Linked DNA regions of Rattus norvegicus. Each later gene encodes a partner of the first gene's protein in a complex. Links are inferred from orthologs where the notes say so. Each region holds a gene or a part of one and is shown in the gene's direction. Other genes may lie near its edges.

Region 1 (7,775 bases):
AAGGAGACAGATCTGTTATTTTATCCCACCTTTCCTCTCAGATCTGAAAGAGCTAGATCCATTCATTTCTTGTAGCATGACAGCTGACAGCATTCATTGACAGAGTGTTATATGATGAAATGTGTTGGAATATTTTTGTTGTTGGGCCTTTTTTTGTTTTTGTTTTTGTTTTTGTTTTTGAGACAGGGTCTTAACTATATACAGCTCTGGTTAACCTGGAATTTGTTGTGTCGACCAGGCTGGTCTTGAACTCACAGAAATCCACCTGTCTCTGCCCCACAGGTGCTGAACGAAGGTCTGTGCCACCACAACACATGTTGGTATTTATTGTAGCTGGGTCTTTTTTAAAGTTGATAAAGAGGAATAGTTGTCCAGCAAGACCTCAGTATTTTTATTTCAAAGGCACTACTTTGTCAGAGGTTTGGTAATCAGGTGAAACCCGATTCTCGTCGGCTGGTAGTTGGTTTTAGTATTGTGGTAATCTTTGGTTTGGTAGGATTGTGTTACTGTGTGGATTCTGCCTGGATCTTATATAACATAGGGACTGTATTGACTCCATGGAAACATTAGATTTCTATTCTGCTTTTGGTTGCAGTTGCTATCACTTAGAGCTGTGTCACTTGTACTTACCCATTAGTAATGTAGACTGCTGACGCAGGGGCTGGCTTCCCAGTTATTGTGTTCCTCATTTTCAGCCCCAGCTGGAGTAACTTGAATACATGCTAAAGACTGTGGCACTGACAAGATGTATGTCAGCCTTCCTAAGGCCGTGCCCTCTCTCAGTGGTAACTGGAGACTGGACAGGGTCTGTTGGAATTGGCAGCAGACTTTACTCTAGCATGTTCCCAGCTCCAGGAAGTGCTGGCTTGATTCCTGTCCCTCCTATTTATCTGTGGATGGTTTTGTGAGATCACGTGATCCAGTTGGTTTGCACATCTGGTAGTGGAAGTAAAGGATAGCTTTGTTCACGGATTGGCTGTGAGGGCTGAAATGAGGATGCTTGTAAAGGAGTCAGTGTGGGGCTGGCAAGGAGGAGGTCTCTGTGCTGGCTGCTGCCTCATGCCCTAACATTAAAAGAGATGTTTTTAAAATATGATGTGTCTGTGCTGAGTGTGGGTTTGTGCATGTGAGTACAGTGTCCTCTGAGGCTGGGGAAGGGTGTCTTAGCTGTAGTCACACATGGTTGTGAGATGCCTGATGTGGGTGCTGAAGGCTAAACTCTGGTTCTCAGCAAACTGTCTCCACCCCCTGCTGGCCTTTGTATGGGAAGTAGCAGTATAGCCAAGAAGATTGGGCAGTGTAGAGTTTTTCTGTGTTTAAAATATGTAGGTATTTTTGGTGTTGATCCCCCCCCCCCCCCAGGTAGGTTTTCTGGTAGCCCAGTTTGGCAAATTGTTATGTAGTAGATACCTTGATATGCCTTGCCAAGTGCGAAGCTTATAGGAATCTGAAACCATGTTTGTCCCAGACACCCTGCTTTATGTTGTGTTTGCTAACACTGATGCTTCAAGAGGAAAGTTGCTAACGTAGTAGATAAGTTGCACATTTTCTCCACACCTGGGTCAGTCATTTCCCATGTATATGTAAATGCCATGAAAAACTATGATGTCATTGATTTTCATTCAACACTGGGCGAAAGAAACAATGCTGTTTGTTTTCGCAGAAGTAACTGAAATAAAGCACACGGGTTGTTGGTGCGGGGGAGCTGGGCTACAGTCATTTTCTGTACTTCTCCTGTTTGTTTGTCCCCCTCCCCCAGGTTTGGTTATATTTTCCCCCTGTATCTCCACCTCTTACCTTACTTCCCAACTTCATGTTTATTTGCTCGTGCTCCCCCCTCCCTCTTTCTCTCTCTCTCAAGTCACCTTTTTTTTTCTTACCCTAATTAGTCCAATTTCTGCTGCTCCTATACACATTGGTGTGGGGTCAGCCAGTGGAGCATTGCTGATCTACCCTTAGATAAAACTGGCTCTCCCTCTCCCAGAAGCCATCAACTGTCATTATCAGCTTTTAGGGGTGGGGGCTAATTAGCCCTTCTATACTGGAATATTGACTGGTTTTGATAATTATGCAAGTCTTACACAGGCAACCACAGCAGCGGAGAATTTGTGAGGGCATCAGTCCTTTCGTGTTTAGAGACACTGTTTAGTATAGTCCTGCTGAACCTCTGGTTCTCGCAGTCTTTCCCTACCCACTCATTCTTGATGCTCCCTGAACTTTGGGGACCCATAGATGGCTGAATACTCCACAGATCTGTATTCTGACCATTCGTGTATTAACTATCCTCCACTGCGCAAAGATGCTGTCTCCTAAGGTCTGAGTGCTGCACTAATGTGTGGGTACGGATATTTATCTAGAGCTAGTTTGATATTATATTCATTTAGCAATGTAATAGTATTTTCACCCCTGGTTTAGAAGCCATGGGTTCTTGGCCAACCTTAGAGTACCAGATAGAAGTTTCTTCCTGTGGAACTGGCCCTAGAACCAATTAAAGGAAAACAAGAAAAGAAAAAAGCCCCTGGCTACCCTTGTAACATAATGTGCCACTACTGTACCTCTAGGGACATCCTAACCCCGCTAGTTATTACTACAGCTCATGGGGTTCACAGTGAGACTGTTGAAGATGTTTCTTCTCCAGCAGCCTGGGTAACAACTGGCGGTACTATGACAGTGAGCAAGCAGGCAGAAGGCTTCCAGTCACCAGCTTCATTTCTCCATGGCCTATGACCATTCTTTTTAAACCTATAAATTGATTATAATATTTAATACTATTATTAATTCAGTGAAGTTGGGAACTGTGGATTTGAGATAATATAGAATATACTTTTCAATGTTTATGAGTTTAGAATCAGTATTCAGGATAGGAAGAAAGAAAGTTGACATTCTGAACTCAGACAAATCAATTATGATCATATTTATTGTTCCATGCCCATGACATTCTTCCGTAGCCCAGGCTAGTCCTGAGCTCATCTTCTTACCTCAGCTTCCTGAGTGTTGGCATCATAGGTGGGTCAGTGTGCCTGGCTTTTTCCTTAAGTCTTGTGTTGGGGTCCGTGAGCTGTCACTTTTTTCTAGACTAGATGTCTGCAGACACGTCCTTGATGCAGTTGTCTGTTTGTGACCAGGTAGGGCCTTCCTGAGGACACTTGTCTTACCAGTGTTTCACCAGGAGCTCCTGGTGAAGTACAAACTGCACTCTGTTCGTACTGAATTGGTGAGGCTTTCCAAATGATGTGTGCGGTTTCTGGTCCTTCCAGACCCTTGTCTCTTTGAAGGCCGTATAAGCCCAGAAAAGAGGGTGGCCTAGCAGTTCAACTCATTGTGTTCAAAGTATAAGATTATCCGAATCTGCTCGGGTGTCTGGTTTTGTAGGTTGGGCCACCTCTAGAATCTTTTTTGGGAGGTGAGGGGTTAGGATAAGCTGTTAAAACAAGAAATATTCCCACAACTGAGGTAAGGAAGACTTGGACCTGAGGTTAGTAGTTATAGCTGATTGAGTCATTGACTGGTCTGCCATGTTGGTTCCCTGTTCTTTGTAATCTGGTTCCCTGCTAAACCATTTCTCTTTGGTTCTGGTCTTTTTGTGAGCTCTTGGAGCACCATATACCTTAGGTGGCCCACCCTTTCACTGTGGTGTACACGTAGGGCTTTGAGGCTGTGCAGTGCACAAATTATTAATTCTGTTTCCTGCTAGCCCTTGAGTCACTTGCTGTGTCATGTAAGGAACTTTACTTTCTTCTCTGGTCTGTGTCGAATGTTGATTGATGGCAGAGTTCCTTCATTCATGATTATGAGTTGCAACAAAACAGATAGAAGAGAAAAGAGGATCAGAGTTGGGAGAAATAGAAGTAGCTCCCACAGTTGTGAGCTGGCCACATCCTTAGCTACTGATACAAACTTCCTAGATAATCCGAAACTTGGGCTCCTGGAGATGTGGGAGTAGAGGAATGTGTGGGGTGAGGAGCTAAGTGAGCTGTCAGGATCTGGCGTTTTCAAATCATACGTCAGAAGGGAACATCTTGATTATTTCTTCAGAACCAGATCTGCATTTGAGGAAACAGGGCTTCCAGTCTACGAATGAACTAAAGTGATTGCCACAATACTTCATTGATATTTTCAAAGAATTAGAAATTCACCAGTAAATTTTAAATTAGGAAGGATATTGCAATGAGAAGTCTGTGCTGACACTTTGCCCTGGTGGAAGTCAGGAGGGGTTAGTTCCTTTGGGCTCTTCCTTTTGTACCCTTTAGGTGGGTAATTGACCCCTTGTAGCTGTGCTCTGCTTGCTTGTGGATGTGCTTTTGCACTTGGCAGTTCTCAGTCTCTTTCCTTTTTGGGTCAGCTCTTGTGCAGAGCAGGCTGTGGTGCTTCATGACTCCTTTGTCTTTCTTGGGTTCCTTTGTCAGATGACGAGTGTACTGTTATCTTTAAGCAAACATTATGATGTTGGCCAGTGAGGTAAGTTTGCTTACCTCCAAGACTCATCGTAGTCTGAGTTGAGTCTGTAGGACTCACATGTTGAATGAGAGAAACAACTTCTCGAAGTTGTCCTCTGACCTGCCCTTGTGCATGGTGGGCAGCACTCCGTGCCCACATGCCCATATGACATCACACTTACGTGTACATGCTGTAACTTAATGGCTGTGGTGTGAAGCTGCCTGAGGGTTGAGTTGTCATGTGGTAGTAGGATGGACGCTGCTGAGTTCAGGAATAAAGGAAAGCTTAGACTCATTTACTTTACTCACTTCCTTTCCTTGCAAAATACTGCATATTTGTTATGGGTTTAAGTAGAGTGGAAATTTGAGGACAAGCTCAAAAGAATGGTTCAGGGTGTGGAAAACAGGGAAATTCTGTGGCGTTAAGGAGACAGCTGCTCTGGCTTCTGCACCCTCCCTCTCCTCGTTCTTATTTTGCCTGAGGAGGAACAGTAGAGCAACTCAGGAGGTTACTAAATTCTTCCTTTTCAGGGGTACACCCTCCCCCCTTTTCATTTTTGGGAGAGAGCCCCATACTATAGTCCTGCTGGCCTGGAAAATGATACGTAGACTAGTTTGGCCTTAAATTTGTAGTTAAGTCCCTGTCTTAGCATCGGCCTCCCTGGTGCTAGGGTGACTCTAAGGGATCCAGGCTTTTTGTCTTACTGCAATTCTGATATTCTGTTCAAGTCTTGTCCAGCAGTCAAACAGTGGTTTTATTTTTCTACCTGAAATTAAACATTTTTCTCCTGAGAAATTAGCCACTAAAATTTTTACTAGTGTTTTAATTTGGATTGTTAATTTTGGTAATGTTTGTTTTAAAGTTGTGTAAGGGTCCATGATTCGGCAAAGAATGATACCCTGAACTCTCAATAGTATGTAAATGCAGAGTGTTTTTTTTTTTTTTTTTTTTTCTACAGAAGTCCAGCATGCTGGGCTCTCCCATTACCAGAATAGAGCTTTTATGCCTGATTTAAAGCACATTAGGGCATTCCGGGTTTGGTGACCCTTATGTTAATCTGTTGGGTCCCATCTCTAAGGACATTCTCTTGGGGACTGTGGGGGCTGTAAACTTGCTGGGGGAAGTCTGGAAATGCTGCTGACCCATTGTCCTTGCCTCAGGCCAGGTGGTAGGGCAGCTTCTGAGGCCTGGGGTTGCCTGGAATTGCCCAGTTCTTGGATACAAATTTAGGCCTAGCCGCCTGAACTGCCAGTTTGAAGCCTGTCATGGAATCAGCCTAGTCTCCTTAGTTGTATGGGTTTTGAGTGCCCCATTTTTCTGTTTTAAATTCCTGTTGTCTTCAGCATTTGATTTTACGTAAATTGAAATTTTCCACCAGTCGGAGTTTGAGAATATGTAGCAGAAACACCTTCATGTGCTGCTGTGTGGCACTGTGGAGATGTTTGTTGACATTTGTTGCCTTCCTTTTCTATTTCCTCAAACTGGCCACAGTCTGTAATCTCAATAAGGCAGAGTCAGGAGGAGGATTGCAACCAGGAGCTAACCTGGTCTACTTAGTTAGTCCCGGATAGCCAGGACTACATGGTGAGATTTGGTCCCCAAAATTGAACCAACAAACAAAAAGGCTGAGTATGGTGGTCCGGTGGTCTGCACCTGTAATGCTAACACTTTGAAGGTGGAAGCAGGAGGATCAGAACTTCAAGGCTAGCTTTGGCTACAGAGCAAGCCTGGGCTATGTAAGACTATGGCACACAAAAGAACACTAAGACCACCATCACCACCACTACCACCAAAAATGTAATGAGAATAAAACACAGTGAATAAAAGCAAAGTGGGGACAGTTATTCTTTAGTATGCGAGGACTGACCTTTCCTGACTGCACATCTCAAACTTCACAGTGATTCCCCTCTGCACTGCTGAACAACCCTGGCAGCTCCGTACCCAGGGATGCTTTTGCTCCTGCCATAGCTGCTTTGTTCTTTGTATCAGGCTCTGCCCTGAGATAGGCATGCACACTGAAGTAGTGCTCGTCCCATGTGACGCTTAGGTTTCTTGTTACTATTACCATTTTACCATTTTTATGAAAAACATGGTGTGAGTGTTTTCTTCTACTGACACCTCCTCCTCCTATCTGCGTATTTAACCTGGATGAGAGCAGGCATGGGTTCTGATTCTCTTGTCACTCTCCCAGTATCTGGAATAGACTTGCAGGTGTTTAGTATTTTTAAGCCCATTAACTCTTTTTGACCCACTGATAACTTAGAGTGGATTTACTTTTATTATGGATATGTATCTTTAAGAAGCCGGGATTTACGGTGTGCTAGAGGAGATGAGATTACTTTGGTGTTTACATAATGTTTGTAGCTAGTTCTTAGCAGCTATATCAATCTGAAAAAAATAGTTGAAGAACTGATACTAAAATAGTTGTGCTAAGATACTAGATTTCAACAAGTTACGCTTCGTTTCTTTCAATCCAGATATGTCATCATTCAGTAATAGGAGGTGAGCTAAACCTCCCAGTTACATTGATGGAGGTTACTTCTAGCTACATTTACCTGGGAGGTGGTGGTGTTTAACTCTGATCTACTTCTAAAGTTGGCACTGAGTCATAATGCAGGCAAGTTGTGCTATGAAAGCCCAAAGCAAGTTCTCAAAAGGGTTGATTCAGGAAGGGACCTCATTGACGTAGGGAATACAGCAATCTTACTGAATTGCTCCCTTTGGGAAGTGCAGCACGCTCGCTTGACTGACTGTACAGCCAGAACCAGACCTGAGTACCAGGAATGTCTTGACACAATAGTCTAGCTAGTTTTGCTGCGTCATAATAGCCTTTCCTTTATTGACTTTGAAGTGTAATGACAGTATCTGAATTTAAGGACTACTTTACTTTACCTGAGAATTCCCTGAAGGACTCTGAGCAGTGTAGCTTGAGAGGGATCCCATAGTGTATTAGAATTTGTTGCTCCCAAGTGCTGGGGGAGGTAAGCTTGGGCACAGACAGAGGTAGCCATTTATAGCTGGAAGGCTGGGCCTTTAGTCCACTCTGGATGTACTTAAGATTGCCATTTACTCAGAAGTGACATTTATCTCTTCGGCTCTGTCACCCAGCTTTTTCAAATGAACCTGTTTTTAAATGAAGACTGAGGGTTCTCTTTTGATAACATCTGTGATTTTCTTCAGTTCATCTAGGGAGTGGGATGCTGATGGAGTCTGTCCTCAGAAGAAGCGCCACAGTAGGGAAGTGTTGGCACTTAAGACCATCACTTGGGGGAGGGCAGCAAGTTCTTTATACAAATATCGGGAACATTGTAGTTTCTGAGGAAGAAGATCTAATTAAG
Region 2 (7,194 bases), on another chromosome or scaffold:
AATTACGGGTACCAGGGATGTCTTTACCCTTGGCTGCCCCTCAGCTCTTTGCTAGCACTATGTCCTTTCTGCAGAGAAACCTTCCTGACTACTTCCTTTATTCATTCTTTGTCTGTTGCTATAGATCTGGCTGGCCTCTGCCTCTTGAGTGCTGGGATTAAAGGCATGTGCCACCATGCCCTGCTACATCAAAAATTTTGAACCAGGCAGAGAGGCACATACCTATAATACCAATAATCAGTTGGCTGAGGCAGGGGGATTAAGAGGTCAAAGCTAGTCTGGGTAGCATAACAAGTTCCTGGCCAGTCAGAGTTACATAGCAGTGACCCTGTATTGAGTGAATGCTAGTTGCTGGAGCCTTGGTGGAGAGCAGAGAAGGAACAGCTGTGTTGTGAGAACTTCCAGTGCATGGTTACTGCGCTCTCTTTCTATAGGTGATATGTATGAAGTTGGAGCAGAGAGTGGCCGCTACTATTGTCTCAATGTGCCCTTACGGGATGGCATTGATGACCAGAGTAAGTTCTGATGACTTCTCCCTGCTCACTCTTCTCCCCTTTTTTCTCTTTCAATTAACAATTAACCTCTTCTGCCTGGTGTTGTCCATTGTTGGGTCAGGTGTCCTTAAGGATGAGTGGCCTTCAGAGGGACCATGAACCCTTGGAATTTGTATGCAATATATTATGTGTGTACGTTTTGTTAATTTATTCTTTTGGGAGGAAGGTTGCTAGTGTTTAACTCAGCAGTTGCGACACCCTCCAAAAGTTCAGAACCAGTGGTTGGTTCTGTGGGTTGCCCCTTTCCCGGGCTACATGCTCTCTCAACCCCCCTTTTCCTTTTGTTCCCTGTCTCCCCATCCCCTTGGGGTGCCAGGTTGCCCACCTTTGGCCCTCTCCCAGGTTACAAGCACCTTTTCCAGCCGGTCATCAGCCAGGTGGTGGACTTCTATCAGCCGACGTGCATCGTGCTGCAGGTAACAACCTTAGCGCCTCCCTAAGAGGGCGGGCCTGGGCTGCAGGGAAGAGATCAGGACGAATAAGCTCCAAAAATTGGTGAGGAAGGACATTGGAGGACACTGATGTTCTGATCATCCATGTTATTGTAGCCATTTGTGTTTTTTCTTTTTGTAGTGTGGCGCTGACTCCCTGGGCTGTGATCGATTAGGCTGCTTCAATCTCAGCATTCGAGGACATGGGTGCGTTGGCTTTCTTGTTGTTGTTATTTAAAGTTGTATTTTATTTTTTGTTATCATTATTATTAATTATTGTATGTATATGTGTATATATTAAATCATACATAAATACACATACATACAATGAAAAATCTAATGAAAAAAATAAGACAGGGTAACAGCAGGGAATCTACTTTTTTTTTTTTTTTTCTTTTTTTTCGGAGCTGAGGACCAAACCCAGGGCCTTGCGCTTGCTAGGCAAGAGCTCTACCACTGAGCTAAATCCCCAACCCCGGGAATCTACTTTTTAATTATACAGTTTTTTTAAGGTCTCACCGTGTGGCACAGGCTGGCTTCGAACTTGTGACCCTCCTACTTGAAGCTCCCAGATTCTGGGACTATAAACTCGGGTCACACCATACCTGGTTTGGGAATGTACTGTAGATGACATGTTTTGGGAAAGGTTTTCTGAAAAGATGAAATGGGAGACCTGGAGACTAAGGAGTGAACCATAAAAGGAGAACAGAGAATCCTGCCTCAAGCAGTGTGAAGAGCCAATGTAAAGCCCTAAGACTGAAAGGAGTCTTGGCAATAAAACCAGTGAGGCCAGAACAGTCAGGTGCTGTAAGCTGGCCAGGCTGAGAGTGTGCAGAGCGTCAGACTCTGGCACTCATGGGTGATAGAAAACCAGTGAAGGACCTTACCCAGGGAAGTGACAGGGTCCAGTGAGTTTGAAAGCTGCTGTTCTGACTGCTAAATGAAGAAAGGTTTGGTGTGGGAATTGGGTCAGGGCAGGTAGTGGGCAGCTAGCTAGGAAGCATTAACGTTATTTGGGCAGGCACGTGTTGATAGAGAGAAGTATGAGAGTTTGAAGGTGTACCCTGAAGCTTAGACATTCTGGCTGTGACCCTGATGAGAGTAGTGGGTAGCAGGTAAGGTGCACAGGGAGTATTAAGCAAGACAGAGTGGGGGTGTGCTTTATTTTAAAATTTTTATTGAGACACAAAATAGTAAAGTATGCTAGTATTTTTAAAAGGTAATATTTGTGTGTGTGTGTGTGTGTGTGTGTGTGTGTGTGTGTGTGTGTGTCCCCAGTAGCAGAATAGGGTATTGGAATTTACCTATCGGAGTGAGCTTCCCGGTGTAGGTGCTGGGAACTGAAACTCTGGCCTCTAGGAAAGCAGTAAACACTAATGTTGAGATGGCGCTTTAGCCCTAACGCAGTGGTTCTCAACCTGTGGGTCTGAACCAGGGGAAAACACATAGGACCCTCCAGCTATAACTTTATTTTTGTTGCTTGCCATTTTATAACTGTCATCTTGCTATTGAGTGGTGTCTCCTAAGACCACTGGGACTCTGTGCTTTCCCATGGTTTTGGCCCACATGTTGAGCAATACTACCCAAGGAGTTCTAATCCTGAGCGCACAGCTCAGAGGCAGGAGGATATCAGATGGGGACAGGGTGAATAGCACCCTCAGTAAAAGCGCTTGCTATACAACCATGAAGACTCAAGTTTGATCCCAGAGCTCATGTGAAAACACTAGGCCTGGCGGTACCCATTTATGATCCATAATCCCAGCCCTGGTGAAGTAGAGACCAGAAGATTCATAGGGTTTGGTAGCCAGCCAGCTTAGCCTACTTGGAAAGTTCCAGGTTAAAAAAAAAAAAATGGATAGTGCCTTTAGGCCAACACTTGAAGATGTCTTCTAGCATGTGAATACACATGCACACATCCTCAGACACACGTGCACTGGCACACATATGAAGACTCACACATTTGTACAAGTAGTCACACCCAAAGAATGCAACTTTGAGTTATACTACACAACAGGACAGAGAAATATTGTTGGTCAAGTCTTCCTCCAGTATTTCAAGGCATATCGGTGGTCACGTGTCTTGGATTCACCTAGTCCTCTTGTTGCTTCTAACAGGGAATGTGTTGAATATGTCAAGAGTTTCAATATCCCTCTCCTGGTGCTGGGAGGTGGTGGTTACACCGTTCGAAATGTTGCCCGGTGCTGGTGAGTATTCTACTCTGCTCCTCTGTAGTTCATGATAAACTCCCTGAAATTGGAGGGGTGGTCCTTTCAGCCCTACCCCTCTGCTTGCTGGTTTCAGGACATATGAAACATCTCTGCTGGTAGAAGAGGCCATTAGTGAGGAACTTCCCTATAGTGGTAAGGTCCACTTCATGATGCCCCCCACAGGGGGCCCATTCTCACCAGTCCTCAGAATGACCTTGTTTGAAGGGAAATTGCACATTCTGGGAGCTCTGCAGACTAAACCCCTGTGCTCAGAGCAGAGCAAATACTCTTACACATGGGGACCAGGACTCAGAGAGGTGATCGGAAAGCCATGGGATTCAGTCTTTTGTATCTCAGCCATACTCTCGTTCATCCCTCTCCCAATTGCTTCTCATCTCTAAGAATACTTCGAGTACTTTGCCCCAGATTTCACGCTCCATCCAGATGTCAGCACCCGCATCGAGAATCAGAACTCACGCCAGGTTAGCATCTTGGGGAAGCTGGACACAGCAATGCTGGGCGGGCTCAGGAGAGGTCTCGGAGGTGGGAAATGGAGAGAGCAAGGGAAGGAAGTTCTGGGCTGTCACTGTCACTCTTATCATGTGGTAGCCCTGGATAAAGGACAAACAGTTGGGTTGCTGGGAAGGGACAGTCACTAACTGAGGATCTGACCTTGAAATACTACTTTAAACCAGGATGGTCATGGTAGAAGGCGGATAGAATTTCATGTACTATGGCAATCACCCTGGCACTGTTGACTCTTTTCTTCTAAACTAGTATCTAGACCAGATCCGCCAGACCATCTTTGAAAACTTGAAGATGCTGAACCATGCACCCAGTGTCCAGATTCATGATGTTCCAGCAGATCTCCTGACCTATGACAGGACTGACGAGGCCGATGCTGAAGAGAGAGGTCCTGAGGAGAACTACAGCAGGTCTGGGGCCAGAGAGCGGGTGGTTCCTCAGGCTTGCAGAAAAGGCATGAGTTCGCCTGGCCCTGGCTGATTTCCTTTAGGCTGCAAGCTTTTTTCTCTTTTGACCCTTTTAGATACATCAAAATGTGTTGTATTTACATAGTTTCAGGACTACTCCATGGCAGTAACTGTTATTTATGGTTTGATTCATGTGGTTTTGGATAGGTAATTTCTATAGATTATAAGAACACTATATGCACGTGTGCACATTCAGAATTTTATTTCTACAGTTACTTATTTTTCTTGATTTGTTGCTGTTGTTTTTGGGTTTTGAGATAGGGTTTCCTCTGTGTGGACCAAGCTGGCCTATAAATCAGATATCCTCCTGCCTCTGCCTCATGAGTGCCGGGATTAAAGACATGCACCACCATGCCTTGCTCTTTCTTGGTATTTTTGAGATTGGGTTTCACTATCATAGCCCAAGCTGGCCTTGAGCTCATAATAATCCTCCTGCCTCGGGTTTCTAAATGCTACCCAGTTTGTTTATAAAGTTCTTGTTACTATGAGTAAGGATATTTTCTATATGTTGCTCTGAGTTGTGTTTGCCTGTTTTTTTCTTTGAAAGGGTGTGTGCCATGTCGGTATAGAGATCATTGTTTCTCAGTTGTATAATTCCATTGTGTGGTGACCACATGATCACAAGGGCAGTCAGTTACCACTTGTGGATATTTACGTTACTCTCCATCCCACTCCCCCACCCCCCCCTTTTTGTGGCTATTAAAACAATAAGGACTGCGGCACTGAATATATATATATACATATATATATATATAAAATATATATATTCACATATATATGTGTGTGTGTGTGTGCACGCACGCGTGTGTGTATATATATACATATACATGTATATGTATATATATTCATAACTGTTGCTGTAGGGAAAATGGCATATGCAGTAAAACTTTTCTAATGTTGCCAAATTACCTTCCAGAAAGAATTTAGTGGTTTATTTACATCTTTTTAAGAAAAATCTTTTATTTACTTTTAGATTGATTTATTTTATGTGTATGGTGTTTAACTTGCATGTATTTAAGTACACCATTGTGTACCTGGTGCCTGCTAAGGTCAGAAGAGGGTGTCAGATCTCCTGGAACTGGAGGATGGTTGTAAGCTGCTCTGTGGGTGCTGGAAAGAACCTGGGTCCTTTTCTATGGCCACAAGTGTTCCTAACTGCTGAGCTGTCTCTCTCGCTCCCTATTTACGTTTGCCAGCATTTTACTCCATTCTGAGCAGTGAACAGTAGACCACTGCCCACATTCTCTTTTATAGGGTTTCTACATTTGTTTAGTTCATTTTTCTAGATTTATGAGTTGTATTGAGTGAGGTGTGTGTGTGCATGTATATGTATAAATAATCTTTATCTTCATAGATCTATGTTGAAATATTTATAGTTAGAATGAAATAAGGCAAGATTAGTATAGATCTTTTTGTTGTTTGTTAATCCTCAAAGAAATTTCTAGAAAATGATGAGAAAGGACAACAGACAACCGAACCCAGAACGATGGAAGAGATGGGGTTAGTAGGGACCAGATGCATTTGCAGGACTGAGACCATCTGAGTTGCTGTGCTTCTGTCATGGGCTTGAAGCTGGCTGTGCTGCAGCTGTGGTGACATCTCAGTTCCTCCTGAGTCTGTTCTGGGTCACAGAATTTTGGCCTCCATTTCTGTCCTCTGGACTTGGTCTTGACCCTTGGGACTTTCTAGTCCTCCTCTTCCCTGGATGCCTCCCCATTCCCTGGCTTGGGTGAGGAAGTATCTAAACATCTGGTTCAGGCTCTGTCTAGTCATCCATTCCTTAGCATCTGTCTACAGCTCTCTAAAGCCTGAGTTCTAGAAGCTGATCACCATTGTCTAGGTTGGTTCGGCGACATCTGTTTTTAAGTTCTCCTTTTGTCTGGGTTTGGCTTTTTCATCTATAGTTACTTTGGCTCTACTTTCTGCATAACCCTAAGAGATGGGTCTTATCCTCAGAGGACTAGAGGAGGGACCCATGGCTCAGAGAGATCAAGTAACTTTTCTAGAGCTCCGTAGTTACCCTGAGTGACTGACTCCTCACTTTTCACTCTGGGCTCTTAGAGGTGATAGAGATGGCCTTCCTGCCTGCCTTAGTTCCTTGCTTCTCTTCAGTGACTTCCTAATTGTCTGTTTTAGAGAAGTTTTTCAAAGAGAAGGAAACCAGTATCGAGTACTTTCTGAGCCCTGTGTTGCTATCACTTCCCCCCTCATGGTAGTTTTAATGGAATGTCAGTCTTCCACTTGTGCATCCCTTCATGTCAGTCCTACCCTCGTACTGCTCCTCTGTCAGTCTTACTGCCTTCCTTTCTGTGTTGGTTTGCATGTGCTTGGCCCAGGGAGTGGCACTATTAGAAGGTGTAGCCTTGTTAGAGGAGGTGTGTCACTGTGGGCATGGGCTTTAAGACCCTCATCCAAGCTTCCTGGAAGCCAGTATTCTGCAAGCAGCCATCAGATGAAGATGTAGAACTCTCAGCTCCTCCTGCACCATGCCTGCCGGGATGCTGCAATGTTCCTGACTTGATGATAATGGATTGAACTTCTGAACCTGTAAGCCAGCCCCAGTTAAATGCTGTCCTTATAAGAGTTGTCTTGGTCATGGTGTCTGTTCACAGCAGTAAACCCTGAGACACTTTCTTTGCATCAGTCTCAGCTCACACCTTTCCTTCTCCTCGTAATTAGAAGTAGCCATTTGAACATGCCCTGCACACAGATCCTTACCTTTTGAAACATTGGTCTGCTCACATGAACTGCAGAATTACTGGCATCCTTGTTGTTAGGAATGGCTCAGTTTCCTTGGCACTCGTGACTTCTGTACTTGGTTTTCTTGTGGCTTGGTAGGATCTTTGTCTGACCAGCCTCTTCATAGACTTCAGGCCTTTCATTCTCAGAATGGTCTCCTATTTTGTAGGCCCAGTGTTATCTTCTTGTTCACACCAGACTCAGGCTACTCATGTAGAACACTCCACCATTTGAAATTATTGTATTCTTTCGTTTGTTTTGTTATTGCTAG
Region 3 (7,690 bases), on another chromosome or scaffold:
GACTTCCTTCCCTACTCTTCTAGGTATCAAGGAGAGTGTGTGCTGGGGTCCACCGCCTGCTGCTAGCCCTTTAAAGAGCTGCGAGTACCATGCCCTTTGCTCCCGCTTCCAAGAACTGCTGTTGCTTCCTGGTGAGTCCTAATCCTCCAGAGCCTGCCTTGTTCTCATGGCTCTGGACCCTGGTTGAGACCCAGGACCAGAGCACCAAGCTTGTCAATCATTGTCCCACAGAAGATTATTTCATGCCTCCACCAAAGCGTAGCTTATGCTACTGTGAGTCTTGCCGGAAGTTGCGAGGAGATGAGGCCCACAGGCGCCGAGGAGAGCCTCCCCGAGAATATGCCCTGCCTTTTGGATGGTGCAGGTTCAATCTTAGGTACATATGGGCCACAGACATGTATTTTCTTCTGTGCTATTTTCCTTGAGAAAGGAAGAGTCCCAAGAGGGAAAAGAGGATGGCACCCACTTTGTGGGATGATCTTGAGGAGCCAGTGACCTTTGACTTATCTGTCTTACCTGTCCTTTTAGGGTGAATCCCCATCTGGAAGCTGGCACACTTACTAAGAAGTGGCACATGGCCTATCATGGAAGCAGCGTAGCAGTTGTACGGAGAGTGCTGGACCGAGGGGAATTGGGAGCAGGTATCATGGAGTGGGCTGGGTTTAGGGATCCTAGGAGGAATCACGGGGCTGCCCTCACCCAGGTCTCTTCACAGGAACTACCTCCATCCTGAGCTGCCGACCCTTGAAGGGAGAGCCTGGGGTGGGCTTTGAGGAGCCTGGTGAGAACTGTGCACCTCCCCGGGAGGAGCAGCCCCCTGCAGTGCTGCTCTCCCCCTCCCTTCAGTACGCTGGGGCAGAGACCCTGGCCTCCAAAGTGCAGTGAGTACATGTGGGAGAGCTCTACGGGCTCAGGGTACTTAGGATTCTCACCACACCCTTTTCCCACCCTAGCTTGTTACCTGTCAAGTTAGCCTTGGAACCCAGAGATTCTAGTGCTGGGATTAAAGGCAGGTACCTGGGAATCAGATTCCATTACAGTTGGCTGTGAGCCACATGTGGTGCTGGGAATTGAACTCAGGCCCTCTTGAAGAACAGTCAGTGCTCTTAACCACTGAGCCATCTCTCTAGCTCCCTTTGTTTTTTTCTTAAAACAGGATGTCAAGTAATCCAAGCTGGCCTCAAACTCATGTTTGGTTTGTATCGAAGCTGGCTTTGAACACTTGACTCCTGTTTCCACGTCTGTGCTGAGTGTGGGATTAGATGAGTGTGCTGTATGCCTTCTTTCCTGAATGTCTATGGATACCAAGTCTTTCAGAGTGTCCTACACCAGTTGCTGGGTTTTACCCCATGCACTGCATAAACTGTTCTTGGATATTGTAACAAATTTCTAGAGTCCTAACACTAGGAGGCAGGGCCAGTGGATCAGAAGTTTAAGGTCATCCTCTCCTTATATAGGGAGATTGATTCCAGGGAGTATAGAGACCCTGTACTGTCTCACAAAAGTGGTGAAGTAGACAAGAAGTGCACTTGGAGTGTTTGGGACAGGCCTGAAATAGAGTGTCAGGGTAAATAAATGCATGAAGAGGGCTATGGAGGGGTTAACTGAGGACTTGGGAGGAGAGTACTACACACAAAATAGTTGTTGTTAAGCCATTCACAGTGAGAGTATTTCCCAGAAAACAGCAAGGCCTGGGTGGAGGGAGCAGAATTAGTAGTCATCGGCCCTTAGAAGCCTCCTCTTGTTTCTGCTTGTCTAACAGATTCCGGGACCCAAAATCCCAGCGGACACACCAGGCTCAGGTGGCCTTTCAGGTGTGTGTGCGCCCTGGCTCCTATACTCCTGGCCCTCCCTCTGCGGCCCTCAGAGAACTTCCTGACCAGCACTTCAGCCCATCAGAACTTGAGTGGGTCACTAAGGAGAAGGGAGCCACACTCCTCTATGCCCTGCTGGTACGGGTGGAATAAGGGGTGAGATACCACTACTCCAAGCACAGCCGGGCCTCAAGCCCAGGACTCTTGAATGACGACTGCCTCCACCTCATTCCAGTGACTTATGGCATGTACAGGTGCTTTCCTGGCCGGAGGAGCACGTAGACAGGCTTTGATTTAGACCAGGTGTGAAGCACATCTCTACATTCAGGGCCCAGCACACTCCCTCTGCCGAGAGGGAGCTTGTAGGGAGCCCAGCTCCAGTCTCTGGGTCCCCCCTTCATGCACTGACTTGGGGAACATGACTCCCTATTATTACCCTCCCCCATATCACTTAATTTATTTCCGTTTTTGTTTCTGGTTACTGTGAATCCCAAAGGAGTCTCTGTGCCCACATGAAGCTGCTTTTTCCATGGCCACCGGGCGCCATGAGGCGGGAGTGGGTAAGGAAGGGGCGGCCCGAGGAAGCTGTGGGCCCTCTGTACAGTTGTTACTGACTCTGATTTCTAAGGAGCCAATAAATACTGTCTTCAGAGCATCTGCTTCTGCCTTTGTCTCCTGCGGCCTTGCGAGGTGGAGAGTTCCAGGGGCTTTATCTTCCCAGGCCTCTCTGTAAACCCACATGGAATTTGGACATCCCGGCACCCGTCTCTAAGCACTTCCGCCTTTCCTTTCGTCCAATCCGCTGAGTCGTTTCCCGTCGTGACTCCGGAAGGATTTGTCCGACCGTCGGATATGACGTAGAGACCAAGGCGCGCCGGAGGCCACGGAGAAAGCGCCGAGAAGGCGGGTAGGGGGGTTGGCGCCAGGGCTACGAGGGAGGGGCGGGGGCGCGGAGTCTAAGACCCCCGCACGCGCGCCGGCGCTGAGGCTGAGACCCGGGAGGGACGCTGGTGCCCGGGACACGTGATCGAAGTGGCGAGCGGGCGGCCGACGGGCTTCCGCCTTGGCGGGTCGCAGTACCTCTGAGCTCCCACTTCCCTGCAGGCCCCGCCTGAGGTCTGGCAATCAGTGACAGAGTCGGGTGCCCACTGCCCAAGCGTCACCAACAGCATCATGCCCGCACTTCTGGAGCGCCCCAAGCTTTCCAACGCCATGGCCAGGGCTCTGCACCGGCACATCATGATGGAGCGGGAGCGCAAACGGCAGGGTGAGCCTGGGCCAGAGCGGGAGGACAGACACTCGGCCCAGGGTGGCTCTGCTATCTACGAACTTGCCCCCATCCACGGGCCCAGCTGTGCGCCTGCTGGCGAGGCTAAGAGGGAGGCAGCGCGCCTTCGGGGTGTGAGTGAAGAGGCCCAGTCTAAGTTCCAGAACCCTGGGCTGGGAAGGACCTTGGAGAGCACCTAATGAAGCCAAGTTCTCCCTGTGGCTGTGATGGAATAACTGGTTTTTGCTGGTCTTCAGTCTAACGCTCAGCTTATATTTACACCGCCTTGCCACTTCCCCGTTCTGATTCTTCAGAGGAGGAAGAGGTGGACAAGATGATGGAACAGAAGATGAAAGAAGAACAGGAGAGAAGAAAGAAAAAGGAAATGGAAGAGAGAATGTCACTAGAAGAGACCAAGGAACAAGTAAGTCGCCTCTCATCACTTCTATTTCTAGCTTCTTTCTTTTCCCTACTTTATCTGCTTATCCCTCTTCTAGATTCTGAAACTGCAGCAGAAGCTTTCAGCTCTACAGGAAGAGAAACACCAGCTTTTCTTGCAGCTCAAGAAAGTTTTGCATGAGGAAGAAAAACGGAGGCGAAAGGAACAGAGGTGTGAAGAGATGGCTAAAATAAAATTGTGCAATAGCACACAGGTGACAAGAGTCTAATAGCAGGAGGGACACTTAACTGACCTGTCTTCCTTTCACTCCAGTGACTTAACCACTCTGACATCAGCTGCATACCAGCAGAGCCTGACGGTTCATACAGGAACTCACCTCCTCAGCATGCAGGGTGAGGACTAAATAAACTGCCTAACAGAGGGGGCTCTCCTGGAGGTCGCAGCCTTATTTTGGCATCTTGAAACCTCTCCCTTTCTAGGGAGTCCTGGAGGACACAACCGCCCAGGTACTCTGATGGCAGCTGACAGAGCCAAGCAGATGTTTGGACCACAAGTGCTTACGGTGAGGGAGTCTTAGAATTTTTAACCCCTTCTCTTCAGGCTGGCTTTTAAGTCACTAGTCAAGAATTGTCTTGAAATCTGACCCTACCTCCATGTCTCCTCCTGTGTATTGGAATCACTGTTCATCTGTCACTAAGCCCATCTTACTTTCTCCCATTCTTCTGACATCCCAATCATTAAACCAAGCAGTACACAGGAGCTGAGCAGAAAGGCATGTACTTATTGTGTGAGTTCCTCATTTCCCCTTAGACCCGGCACTACGTGGGATCAGCAGCTGCTTTTGCAGGAACCCCAGAACATGGACAATTCCAAGGCAGTCCAGGGGGCGCTTATGGGACTGCCCAGCCCCCACCTCATTATGGGCCAACACAACCAGCCTATAGTCCTAGCCAGCAGCTGAGAGGTGAGTGTTGGTTCTCCTCAGACCAGAGGAACAGCTAGAACACAAAAATCTAATAATGGGTATCTCCTACCTTTCTTAGCTCCGTCAGCATTTCCTGCGGTGCAGTACCTATCTCAGCCACAGCCACAACCCTATGCAGTGCATGGCCACTTTCAGCCCACTCAGACAGGTGATAACCCCCTGGGCAGGAGCCCTAGCCTCATTGCAACTGCCATCTGCTCACTTCTAACTCTTCTCCCCTCAGGGTTCCTCCAGCCCGGTAGTGCCCTCTCTTTGCAAAAACAGATGGAGCATGCCAACCAGCAGACTAGCTTCTCTGACTCAGTGAGTATGAAGCCTTGGGAGGTCAAGACGCTAAGATGAGGGGGGCCCAGTATGCCTAAGGTCAGCTTCTTCCCACAGTCTTCTCTGCGGCCCATGCATCCCCAAGCTCTGCATCCAGCCCCTGGACTCCTGGCTTCCCCTCAGCTCCCTGTACAGATACAAGCAGCCGGGAAGGTAAGGCTGGTGATCAATCCTACATGTGAGACTGTAAACTCAAGTACTGTCTGTACTGAGTGTTGAGTCAGAGAAATACCCACCCACTGACAAAACTCTTATTACCCAGTCAGGCTTTGCCACCACCAGCCAACCGGGCCCTCGACTCCCTTTCATCCAACACAGCCAGAACCCACGATTCTATCACAAGTAACCACCAGATAACTCCAACCCACCCTCCATCCCTCAGGGTGGGTTCTTATGTGTCCCAAACGAATAAAATGTACAAAATCTACCTACCATCATGCCAGAGTACTGTTTATTTGCTTCCTAAACCACAAAAGGCTGTCTCTTATAAAGCATCTTTCAGTCAACAAAAACAACTGAGTTGGGGGCTTCATATTAAACTTGTAGTTTTATTCAGGTTTGATTTTTAACAAATGTGTCAGGGAGAAAGCCCACAGGAAAGGGTAAAGCCCATGGGGGCAAGGCCTTCCCAGATGCCTGAGGAGGGATCGTGTCCCCTCCCCCCCCTCTTCTTGTCACCCCTATAGAGGGGTTTGGGAAGAGACACAGGCAGGGAAGGGGGCTGGTCCCCAGTCTGTACAGTGGTGCTTGGGGGTGAAGGACTATGGAGAACAGGGGACCAGATGGGTTTGAGTGGGATAAAGGACACAAGACCATTTGCCAGAATCCACAGCTTTCTGATTCCAAATTGAATTAAAAAGAAAAAGGGAGAGGGGAACCTAAACCACAGGCAGTACCCACTCCCTTTCCCCCATCAGGGCTGCGAGAGAAGAGGCAGGTAGCTTCACCAAGGCCATGGCTCCCTCATGCCTGGCCAAGGGAGCTAGGTGAAGGGCAGGGTCTCCCCGACAGTTTGAAGGGGTGAGGAAAACCAAAATAAAACGTCAAATAAATTGGATAGGAGTCCAGCCAAGGGCCCAGCCAGAGCTGGGGGAGGGGCCTCTGTAGGCTCATGGATCACTGCTGCCACCACCGCCACCCTGGGCAAGAGAAAAAAAATCATGTTTAAAATAGGACTGTAACTTCAACAAAGTTGTGAGGGCGTGAGTGTGAGGACAGTAAAAGGCTGTTCACTCACCTGGAAGCCAGTTATTTTGCCATGGCCTTGATTGCAACAGCTGCCTCCTCTGTCATGGCGGACAGCACTGTGATCTGGAAAAGCAAAAGGACAGTCCAGAGATGCCCTTAACTCGGGGACTTTATGCTTAAGAACCAAAGAAAGGCAAGGAAGGGGCACCATACCAGGATCTCTTCTCCACAGTCATACTTCTGCTCAATCTCCTTGCCAAGGTCTCCCTCAGGCAGACGAAGGTCCTCTCGTACCTCCCCACTGTCCTGGAGCAGGGATAGGTACCCATCCTGGATGCCAATCAGCTGCGAGAACGAAAAAAAAAAAGGAAGGAAAAGGTAGGTTAAGTTTAGAGGTTGGATGGACCTACTACAGTGACAGCAGCTTCCTTCCCTACACATCCTTTCCCACAAGGTGCAGGCCAACACACCCTACCCTTCATAAGCCACTAACCATCTTCATCCTAAAAACACACCTGGAAATCATTCCTTTTGATGTTGGGGACATCCATGTTATGAGTCGACGGGCAGATATCTTCATATTTCTTCCCAGTAAAAATATCAATACCAACCAGATGGACCTGTGTACATACATCATAAAGAGATACCCAGCAATCAATCTTTGAAGCATGAGACAAATGTTTGGGTCACTGCCTGAGAATCTAGAATGCCACGTTACGGTAAAGACTATTAAGGATTAGAAATGAACCAAGTGAAAACGGCATAACTAAAGCCTTAAAAGTCCTGACCCTGGAGACCAATACCTGAGGGTTAACAACTGAAGGAAAGGTCAGTCTTAGGGAACTCAATTTACATGGAAATTACCAAAAGTCAACTGGTAAGGACTGAGAATATTGCTCAGTTGATACCAATGCTGGTCCAGCATGCACAGGGCACTGGGTCTGATGCCTACCAACACATAAACCAATCATGACACATGCCTGTAATCCCAGCACTGGAAAGGCAGAGGTGGAAGGAAGTTTGATTCTGAGGGTATCCTGGAGTACACAAGGGGAGGTATCTAGGGAAAAGTTTCTTAGATGTTTATATAATGGGCTAAGTAAGACAAATGGAAGAGGCTGAAAAAATGAAGCAAAGGAATGTTAAGAGAGATCTGAAGACAATGACCCAGGAGAAGAGCATTATAAACTGTGCAGGAGAGCAAGCCTTATGATAGCCTAGTTGTATTTAATGCCAAGTCAACAAAGGATAGGGAATAAACCACTAGTCAGGTTTAACTTCTACGACAGGAAGTCTAAGTGAAGAGAATGCCAAGTCTTAAATAAGCCAAAGAAAGGAGGAGTTGGTGGGCAATCAGCAGCAGGTAGAGGACATGATACATCACAATCCCAAATGGAAGACAGAACTTAGAGAAGCAGCAGCAGTGCTTTGAGAATTCAGACTAGAGCAACCCCAGAATGCTGCCTTGGGGATCTTGACTGGAGAAACTCTGGACAAGGAGCCCAAGGAATAAAAAGGTCAAGAAGAAACTGAATATACAAACCCAAAGGAATCTAGCACAAAGAGGGAGTAAAGAAAGAATGACAGGTGTCCTACGGAAGAAATTGGGAACACTTAATTTTGAATGGGAGCAAAAAGCTGTCTGCTGAACAAAAATGGACTACAACAGCAAAGGGGCCGAGACTAAACCAACAGCTCACTGCCCAAAGCCC
Region 4 (7,779 bases), on another chromosome or scaffold:
GGCCTGTGGCAGGCATCTGTGCCAGACCAGAAGGATGGGGGAGGGGGGGAGGCAGCGGACGGACCTGAGAACTGGGCTGGGTTCTGTGTGCATTTGCTGGCTGCAGGATACCCCTGCCTGTACTAGGATGCACGATGCCATGGAGGGATCCCAGAATCCGCCCTAGGCTGTGCTGATAGACAAGCCGAGAGCTTCCCTAACCCAGCATCTCCCCGAAGCCCTCAGGGCACAGGTGGAAGCTGGTTCAGCCTCCATCTTTGAACTCTTCCTGACCAGTGGGGCTTGTTCCTTAGCATCGAACATATGTGCGTCTGTGTGTCCATACTTTTGTGGGGTGCCAAGGGTCAGACCCTCAAGCGGCTCGTGCATAGAGGCCCCTTTCCAGTCTGAATATTCTTCTCAGATTTAAATGCTCAGAGCTGGACACAAACCTTTCCTGAGCTAAGCCAGGTGACTGGCCTATAGCCCAAATGCTGCGGTCTCAACTAAGGTTTGTTAGATGAGCGCTGGGTGTGCGTCAGTTTTCCCTTCGAGGTGATTTATGTGTGAATCTCAGGCCAGCCCTACGAAAGTGTTGGATCTGTTTCTGAGTGGCTCAGCCTCTCATTCCAGCCCAGTCCCTAACTAGCTGCGTGATGCCAGGCGGGAGAGCCTTACCCTCTCGGTGTCTTGATTTCCTCATCTGTAAAGTGAGGAGATCTCATTACCATGGCTGCTGTAGGGCCGTGTGTATACCTGGAACACCCCCAACACGTGACACAAGGGTAAGCGGTTCTTATCGCAGGGTGTTGTCAGCTCTGATGTTACCAATGGGGGAAGGAGACGTGTGTGTAAGCTGCTAGGAGGTGGGAGAACAGTGCCATTAGATAGCACGGTGGTGACATCCTGTGATCACTCCATTCAGAGACAGGTGTGGCCACTGAGCACTGGAAGGTGTGGCTGCTGTGTCTGCCCAGTTGAGTTTGGGTTTTATTTAATGTGGTGAGTTTTCACGCTAGTGTAGAAGTTGTACGGTTTGAGATCCAATGGTCCTCAACCTTCCTGGTGCTGCGACTTCATGCTGCAGTGAACCCCTAACCATTAATTACTCTTGTCGCTATTTCATAGCTGTAATTTTGCTGTTATGAACTGTAACGTACCTATCTGTTTTGATAGTCTTAGGTGACCCCTGTGGAAAGGCGTTTGGGCTCCCCAAATGGGTCACGACTCACGGGTTGAGAATACTTTTCTAAAGGCTTCTGTTGGGCAGAGCCCTTAGAGTCTGGATGAAAATCTTGCAGTCTGCCACCCACCTCCTACTGGGTTACTTGATTATAATTTGTGGGGATGCTGGGGGTTGAGCCTGGAGCCTTTATTTCTTTTATTATTATTATTATTATTATTATTATTATTATTATTATTATTTTATTTTTGAGACAGAGTCTCAAATACCCCAGGCTGGCCTCCAACTATGGATTTAGCCAAGGTTGCCCTTGAACTCCCAATCCTCCTGCCTTTACCTGCTGAACACTGGGAATATTGTTGTAGCACACACCAGGTTTTATGTGGTGCCGAGGATGGGACCCGGAGCTTTGCACGTGCTAAGCAAGCCACTTCTCCAGTCCCCTGTCCTGTTTCAGAGTCAGCCCCCGGTGCTGTGTTATTTAAGTGGTGACTCTTTTGCATACGTCTCTGAGATCAGGCTGACAGCCACGGTGTTGCCATCGCCCCTGAAGACAGCTAGTGACATCACTTAATACTGTCAATCCAGTTGTTCAGCTGCTTCAGACTGGGTTTCTGTGGCAGGATGCTGTGGATCAGGATTTTGGTTTGCCACTCCATGTGGCACGCCACCCGTGGAGCCTCTTCCAGTCTGGACCGGTTCCGTTGGCCTTATCACCTGTTGAAAAAACAGGGCAGTTTTTTTCACATTTTTGTTTTGCTCTATTGGGGGTCTCACTCTGTAGCCCAGGCTAGCCTCGACTCACAGCAATCCCCCTGCTTTAGCCTCCTGAGTGCTGGAATTACAGGTGTTTGCCACCAAGCCAGGTGGACTCTGTCCTCTTTGTCATTGGGTTTGAGGGATTCTGTTTGTTCTGTCAATCCCTTTCCAAGTCCTCGTCCTAGATCTCTCTCCATCGTCCCTGTTGCCCTTACCCGACCGATAGTGTCCTGATACATGAGTGTTTTACATGTCCTTTAAGCCCCCTGAGTCCAGTTTGACTTTTCTCTTGTTGACTGCTTTTGGTCACCACCAAATCTAGTACCTTGAGTTTGGTCTTTTGTTTTTCAAAGCATTTTATAGTTTCGGTCCTTCAGTGTAGCTCTTTGAGTCATTTTGAGTTGCTTGAAATTTCAACCCACAGGATTTCCTGTGTTCTGGAGATTGCCAACTGCCTCCTGGTGAACACTTTCACCCGGCTTGGTGTGACAGTGTACAGAGAAGCCCTGTCTTGCTTGGCACTGGGTTCGGGTTTTGTCAAGGTCTCTTTGTAAGGAACGGGACACAAAATGGTTGCTTTTTTAGCTCTTGTGCTGCTAAGATTGACCCGTGTTTTCAGGGCTCCATTATATCTTTAAGCCTCAGACTTGATTACAGAGCATGAGCCCGTGGGGAAGACTAATTAAGATACAACAGGTTCTGCCCTGCATTCTGGGGTGCCAGATTCTGTCTGGGTAGGGTGGGGCAGGGCCCAAGAACATAGGGTTTTGGCAAGCTCTCTGGTGATGTCACTCTTTGGAGACTACCATGAGCTGCTGTGTCCCCAGTCCCTGTAAGTCTCTCTTATCTTTATACTAAATACACACAGGAATCTCCTGGGGACCTGAGGGTGCGCTGGATTTGTTTCCTTGTTTTGTTTTGTTTACTTTTTCGGAGGGAAGGCAATTCTGTGGCTCAGGCAGGTCTTGAACTTGTGTACCTGTCACCTCAGCCTTTCAAGTGCTAGAATTAGAGAGGCTTGAACCGTTATGTCCAGCCAGTGGTAGAATTCAGTCGATCCCAGTGTTCTGAGTCTCCAGCCATGCCGACCCTATTATCAGCCCTCGGGTTCACCATTCCACGTCTCCTCTCAGACTTGGCACTTCCAGAAAATGGACGACCTCAGAGAACAGTAACATGAGAGTAGTGACCCAGACATTCATTCCTTGCCCTCCAGCCCTGGGTACTAAGTAAGCCCTGAGCCAGCCCTTGGGTAGGGACTGGTGATTGAATGAAATCATAGTCACCTCTTTACAGACCTTCTGGAACTTTGTGCTTTAGAATGTTCTAGTCTCTGGTTTAGGATGCTGGACTCGCTCGTTTCCATAGCTTTCTCTTTCACAGACGAGTCGTCAAAATCAGAACTCTCAGGGCCTTACCCATAGCCTGTGGTAGAGCGACGAACTTGTCCCTGTGTGTCTGGAATGTCCTCAGGTTTGGGGTTTTAGGTTTGCTTTCATTTTTCTTGCAGTCCTAGACATTACACCTAGGGACTTGCGCATGATAGGTAAGTATCCTGCCACTAAGCTGTCCTCCCAAACCCTTCTTGTCATTCTGTTTGTTTCCTGAGAGGGGACTCTTACTGTGTAGTCCAGGCTAGCCTCAAATTGTGGCAGTCGTACCTGAGCCTCCCCAGTGTTGGAATCCAGATGTCAGGCTACCACACCCAACCTTTTTCTCGTGTTTTTATTTTGAGGCAGATGCTTACTACATTTTTCAGGCTGGTCTTGAACCTGAAATCCTTCTACCTTGGTTCCATAGCTATAGCACAAGAACTCCTCCTTGTCCATGGTCCCTGGCAGACTGGTAGAGGAGAAACCAGGCCTCTTGTTCCTTTGAGATAGGGGGGCAGAAACTGATGTCCTAATTGCCTGAGTCCCTGTGACACTTGAGCTCATTGCTGGCCTAGAGAAGACAGAATTTGAAATGTCTTGTGCCAAGAAGTTGTGGTTTCAGTTAGGGCTTGGCCTCAGATTGAGAGACTCTGTATTGAGAAAACGACGTTTACCAGGAGCCAGGACCTGTGGTTTCTTCCTTCTTCCTTGTAAGAAGGAAAGACACCATGAGAAAGAACTTGGGGGAGGGGGGCTGAGGAAGGGGGAAGCAGAGGAATTAGTACATAGCCTTGACCTGGGGGGAGGGGTCGACTTCTAAGGCTTTCTGATTGGCTCCACAGGCTAGCTGTCCCACCCCATCCGGTATGGATTGGGCCTTCACTAGGGATTCTGGGTGTATTAAAAAAGAGACTTGGCAAGATGGCTTAGCAGGTAAAATAGCTTCCCTTGCAAGCTTGGTGGCCTGGGTTCAATGCCTGGAACCCTTGTGAAAAGCCAGATGCCGCAGCTCGCACACCCATGATGCCAAGACTTCTACAGTGAGATGGGAAGCAGAGGCAGGAGAGTCAGCTGGAAGCTTGAGAGCCACTGTGGCCTGCAGATGGCCACTATGGCATCATGGTAGATTAACACCTACCTCAACAAGCTGGAAAGAGAGAATCAATTACCAAAAGTTGTCCTCTGATCCCACTGGGGAGATTTCTCATCAGGGTTGGAGCATACATGGTCAGGGCCATGATGCACTCTGTGTGGGTAAGAGCAAAGGATTTTTGGCTCCATGTGGGGTGCACCTCTAATCAGGTTTTATTGCACTAATTCTTGGTCTTTGAAGATCACATTCAAATAAAGTGGTGTGATTTGGTTTGGTTCGGTTCGGTTCGGTTTGGTTTGGTTCTGTGTGACAGGTTCTTGCTGAGTAGCCCAGGCTAGTCTTTGAATTTGCTGTGTACCTCAGGCTGGCCTTTGAATTCACTGTGTAGCTGGAGCTGACTTTAAACTCTTGGCCCTCACGCTAGGATTATGAGCAGCTGTCCCACACCTATCTTGCCCTTCTAATCTCCCTCTATCAACCAGGCTATGTTAGAAGGTGGTGCTTCAGACCCTCCCACAAAGCACTTACAGGGAGCGGCCTCTGTGCCCACAAGGTCAGATTTTAAGAGGAAGAAACAAAAGAAAAACTTGAGCTAGCAGATGTGGAATGGCAACAGCAAACTCCGGCCCAGCCCACCTCTGCTCAAACCAAATCAGGTAATGTCCTACTCACCGTGAAGCCACCCTCAGTGGCACCAGGGAACACGCCCCTCCCAACTTGGGTTCCACATCAGCTACTTGCTGGGCTGGGTGAAGAAGAGGGCCATGGAGAGCAGGCAGGAAAATCTGTTGCTTACCCCACAACAGTACCCTTACACACACACACACACACACACACACACACGCACGCACGCACGCACGCACGCACGCACGTGCACATGCACACTCGCCCCACAGGAAGAAGGTAGCTAAGCTTTGAATTCTCAATTTGCTGCTCATGTCAGTACCATTTCTATCACGTAGCTTCCCCTGCACCTCCATTTCCCATCCTCAGATATGGTTAGTACGCCCCCACCTCAGGAGGGTTGTAGGGGATGAGACAGTCTCCAGCCAGTCCACAGCCAGACTTAAGAGAAATGACTCCCAGGAGTTTAAGCCTAGAGCCAACTAAAGCCTTCTCAGGGTGGCGGTTCCCAGCCCCCAGCCTAATGCCATGGCATAAAGCCACAGGACTACAGACAGATGGACGGACGAAGTGGGAAGGCTGCTGTGGAGGGGTGTAGGCCCTGCCTGCAGGGCAGACAAAAGCTTGCTGGCAGGGGAAGTGAAACCATTGCTCCGAGTTGCTGAGTCACCAAAGCCTTGTGCAAACGGGTCCCTGAGCAGAAGGCACCAGACACACCTGGGGCAACGCCAGCACCCCAGAGCTCTGTGATGGATGAATGCCAGGCTCATGGCACACATGGTCACACCATACAGACACTCTCATGCCCTGACCTTACTAGATGCCATCCTCCCTCACTTCTGTGACCTCTCCCCCATTTCAAAGGTCTGGACAAACCTTGGCAATAGAAATAAAGCCTGGGGTGGGGCAGATGGGTATTGACGGTCTCGGTCACATTGCTCTGGACTGGGTGGTTTCATTCGTGGGGGCCAACAGCTCCCTTTCCAGAGGGGAGACACAAGTCTATGAGGCAGACTTGTGTTGTCCCATTTTACAGACAAGAACACAGAGACTCCGAGGGTTAAGTCATCAGAGTTAAGTCACAGTGAGACAAAGTTAGAACTGGAGGCCAGACTGGCTAGCCTTAGAGAACAACACTGGTTCTCACTTGGTTGGCAGGAGAGCTTGGTTGGGCAGGAAAGTTGGGGTGGGGGCTGTAGCAAATATTCTGTGGTCCCTCTGTTTTGGGGGTTCATATTTGAAAAAACAGAAAGGCTCTAATGGATCAGGAAATGAATGAATAGTAATGACCAATAGTCTCTATAACCACTGTGATAGCCTCTCTCCCCTCAGGGTGGACCTTTGTAGAATTGGCCACTAACACCAGGCTTGGTTGCACAGCTTCTAATCCTAGCACTCAAGAGGTTAAGGCAAAACAATCATGAGTTCAAGGCCATCCTAGGCTATACAGTGAGTTCCAGGCTAGCCTGGTCTAAGATCTTGCCTCAAAAAGAATCAGCAGTGAAACCAGACCACTGCCCAGGCTGTGCCTGTTAAGTACTCTCTACTGTGCTCCATGATGAGGTGGTGGGCCTTATACTATCGGTCCCTTCATCCCCTGCAGATGTCATGGCACCCCCAGTACCGCAGCTCCAAGTTCCGACACGTCTACGGCAAGCCTGCCAGCAAGGAGAATTGCTACGACTCTGTGCCCATCACACGCAGCGTCCACGACAACCACTTCTGTGCTGTGAACCCCCACTTCATCGCTGTGGTCACTGAATGTGCCGGTGGGGGCGCCTTCCTTGTCATCCCCTTGCACCAGGTAAGGACCCAGCCTCTAGAGGTCTACAGGACAGATGGACAAGGTGGGAAGCCCAGGTCCCCAGTGCAGATATGACTGAAGATCTAGACTGGCCTGCTTTCCTAGTTGTGTGAGCTTGCATCAGCCAGTTCTTAGACCCTTGGTCTCCTTCTTGGGCTCTCAGCAGCTGGCCCACTTAGAGGACCGTCTCTTATCCACGCAAGAATAGTGCTCGCTCCAATTTTTTCTCTCTTGAATGAAATATGCTTGTTAGAACAATTAGCTGGGCTCAACTGAAATTGGGGAGACTGCGGAAGCCACCTCCCCTTGTCAGGAGGTGAGAGTGGGAGGCTCGAAAGCAGTAGGCAGAAAGGAGAATGCTTATCCCTAGAGCCAGCAGTGAGAGCATGCTTGCCCCAGGAACTATCGCCATTGCCCAGTGTTTGGATCCATGGAGTGACATCTTCATATAGATCTACCCTAAAGGGGATCTTTGTGGGATCCAAGAGCTGAGCTTGCCTTCAGCAGAACTCATGAAGAGGCCTGGGAGAGAGGTGATCCCAGGCTGTGTTTCTACTCATGTCACGAGAGGTGTTCGGGGAGCCTGGCCACAGGAAAGGAGCCCACAGACTTAGATAAGGACCCTGGGAAGTCACAAAGACTGGCGATCCAGAGTCTGAGGAAAGGCAAGAAGCAGCCCTGGAGCACTGACGGACCTGTGTGGTCAAAGCCTGGAGGGAGATGAGCTCAGAGACAGCTCCCTCATCACAGTACCTCAGGTATAGAAGCCAGTAACAGCAGACCAGCTAACTGAGGCCCCGTGTGCCCACTGGTGTGGACCGTTTGCTTGCTTGTTTGCTTGTGACAGCATCTCCTGTAGTCCAGCTCTGGAACTTCCCATGTAGCCAAGCTGGCCTTGACCTCATCCTCCTAAGTTCACCTCCTCACCGTGAGTTACGGTTGTGTGCCACACTTCTAAATAATT

The links.
Region 2: Tbl1xr1 (region 1) and Hdac3 share a complex: the UniProt entries of both Homo sapiens proteins name them as parts of the N-Cor repressor complex. The link is inferred for Rattus norvegicus from reciprocal best matches to the Homo sapiens genes TBL1XR1 and HDAC3.
Region 3: Tbl1xr1 (region 1) and Gps2 share a complex: the UniProt entries of both Homo sapiens proteins name them as parts of the N-Cor repressor complex. The link is inferred for Rattus norvegicus from reciprocal best matches to the Homo sapiens genes TBL1XR1 and GPS2.
Region 4: Tbl1xr1 (region 1) and Coro2a share a complex: the UniProt entries of both Homo sapiens proteins name them as parts of the N-Cor repressor complex. The link is inferred for Rattus norvegicus from reciprocal best matches to the Homo sapiens genes TBL1XR1 and CORO2A.

Annotation. Positions count from the first base shown.
Region 1 is NC_086020.1:106,727,546-106,735,320, forward strand, and holds the start of Tbl1xr1 (F-box-like/WD repeat-containing protein TBL1XR1), read left to right. Parts: upstream 1-3,119; 5' UTR 3,120-3,233; intron 3,234-7,775. UniProt on the Homo sapiens protein: F-box-like protein involved in the recruitment of the ubiquitin/19S proteasome complex to nuclear receptor-regulated transcription units. Plays an essential role in transcription activation mediated by nuclear receptors.
Region 2 is NC_086036.1:30,022,782-30,029,975, reverse strand, and holds part of Hdac3 (histone deacetylase 3), read left to right. Parts: intron 1-434; coding exon 435-515; intron 516-870; coding exon of another isoform or gene 871-896; coding exon 897-970; intron 971-1,127; coding exon 1,128-1,192; intron 1,193-3,099; coding exon 3,100-3,189; intron 3,190-3,286; coding exon 3,287-3,345; intron 3,346-3,594; coding exon 3,595-3,674; intron 3,675-3,969; coding exon 3,970-4,127; intron 4,128-7,194. UniProt on the Homo sapiens protein: Histone deacetylase that catalyzes the deacetylation of lysine residues on the N-terminal part of the core histones (H2A, H2B, H3 and H4), and some other non-histone substrates.
Region 3 is NC_086028.1:55,133,503-55,141,192, forward strand, and holds Gps2 (G protein pathway suppressor 2), read left to right. Parts: upstream 1-2,703; 5' UTR 2,704-2,987; coding exon 2,988-3,081; intron 3,082-3,395; coding exon 3,396-3,505; intron 3,506-3,578; coding exon 3,579-3,691; intron 3,692-3,793; coding exon 3,794-3,873; intron 3,874-3,960; coding exon 3,961-4,043; intron 4,044-4,291; coding exon 4,292-4,445; intron 4,446-4,524; coding exon 4,525-4,614; intron 4,615-4,689; coding exon 4,690-4,769; intron 4,770-4,847; coding exon 4,848-4,943; intron 4,944-5,052; coding exon 5,053-5,136; downstream 5,137-7,690. Other genes in the region: Neurl4 (neuralized-like protein 4), read left to right, coding at 24-131, 232-376, 529-641, 716-881, 1,763-1,967; Eif5a (eukaryotic translation initiation factor 5A-1), read right to left, coding at 6,039-6,101, 6,192-6,323, 6,494-6,598. UniProt on the Homo sapiens protein: Key regulator of inflammation, lipid metabolism and mitochondrion homeostasis that acts by inhibiting the activity of the ubiquitin-conjugating enzyme UBE2N/Ubc13, thereby inhibiting 'Lys-63'-linked ubiquitination.
Region 4 is NC_086023.1:65,650,137-65,657,915, reverse strand, and holds the start of Coro2a (coronin-2A), read left to right. Parts: upstream 1-3,313; 5' UTR 3,314-3,467; intron 3,468-4,869; 5' UTR 4,870-4,986; coding exon 4,987-5,043; intron 5,044-6,614; coding exon 6,615-6,815; intron 6,816-7,779.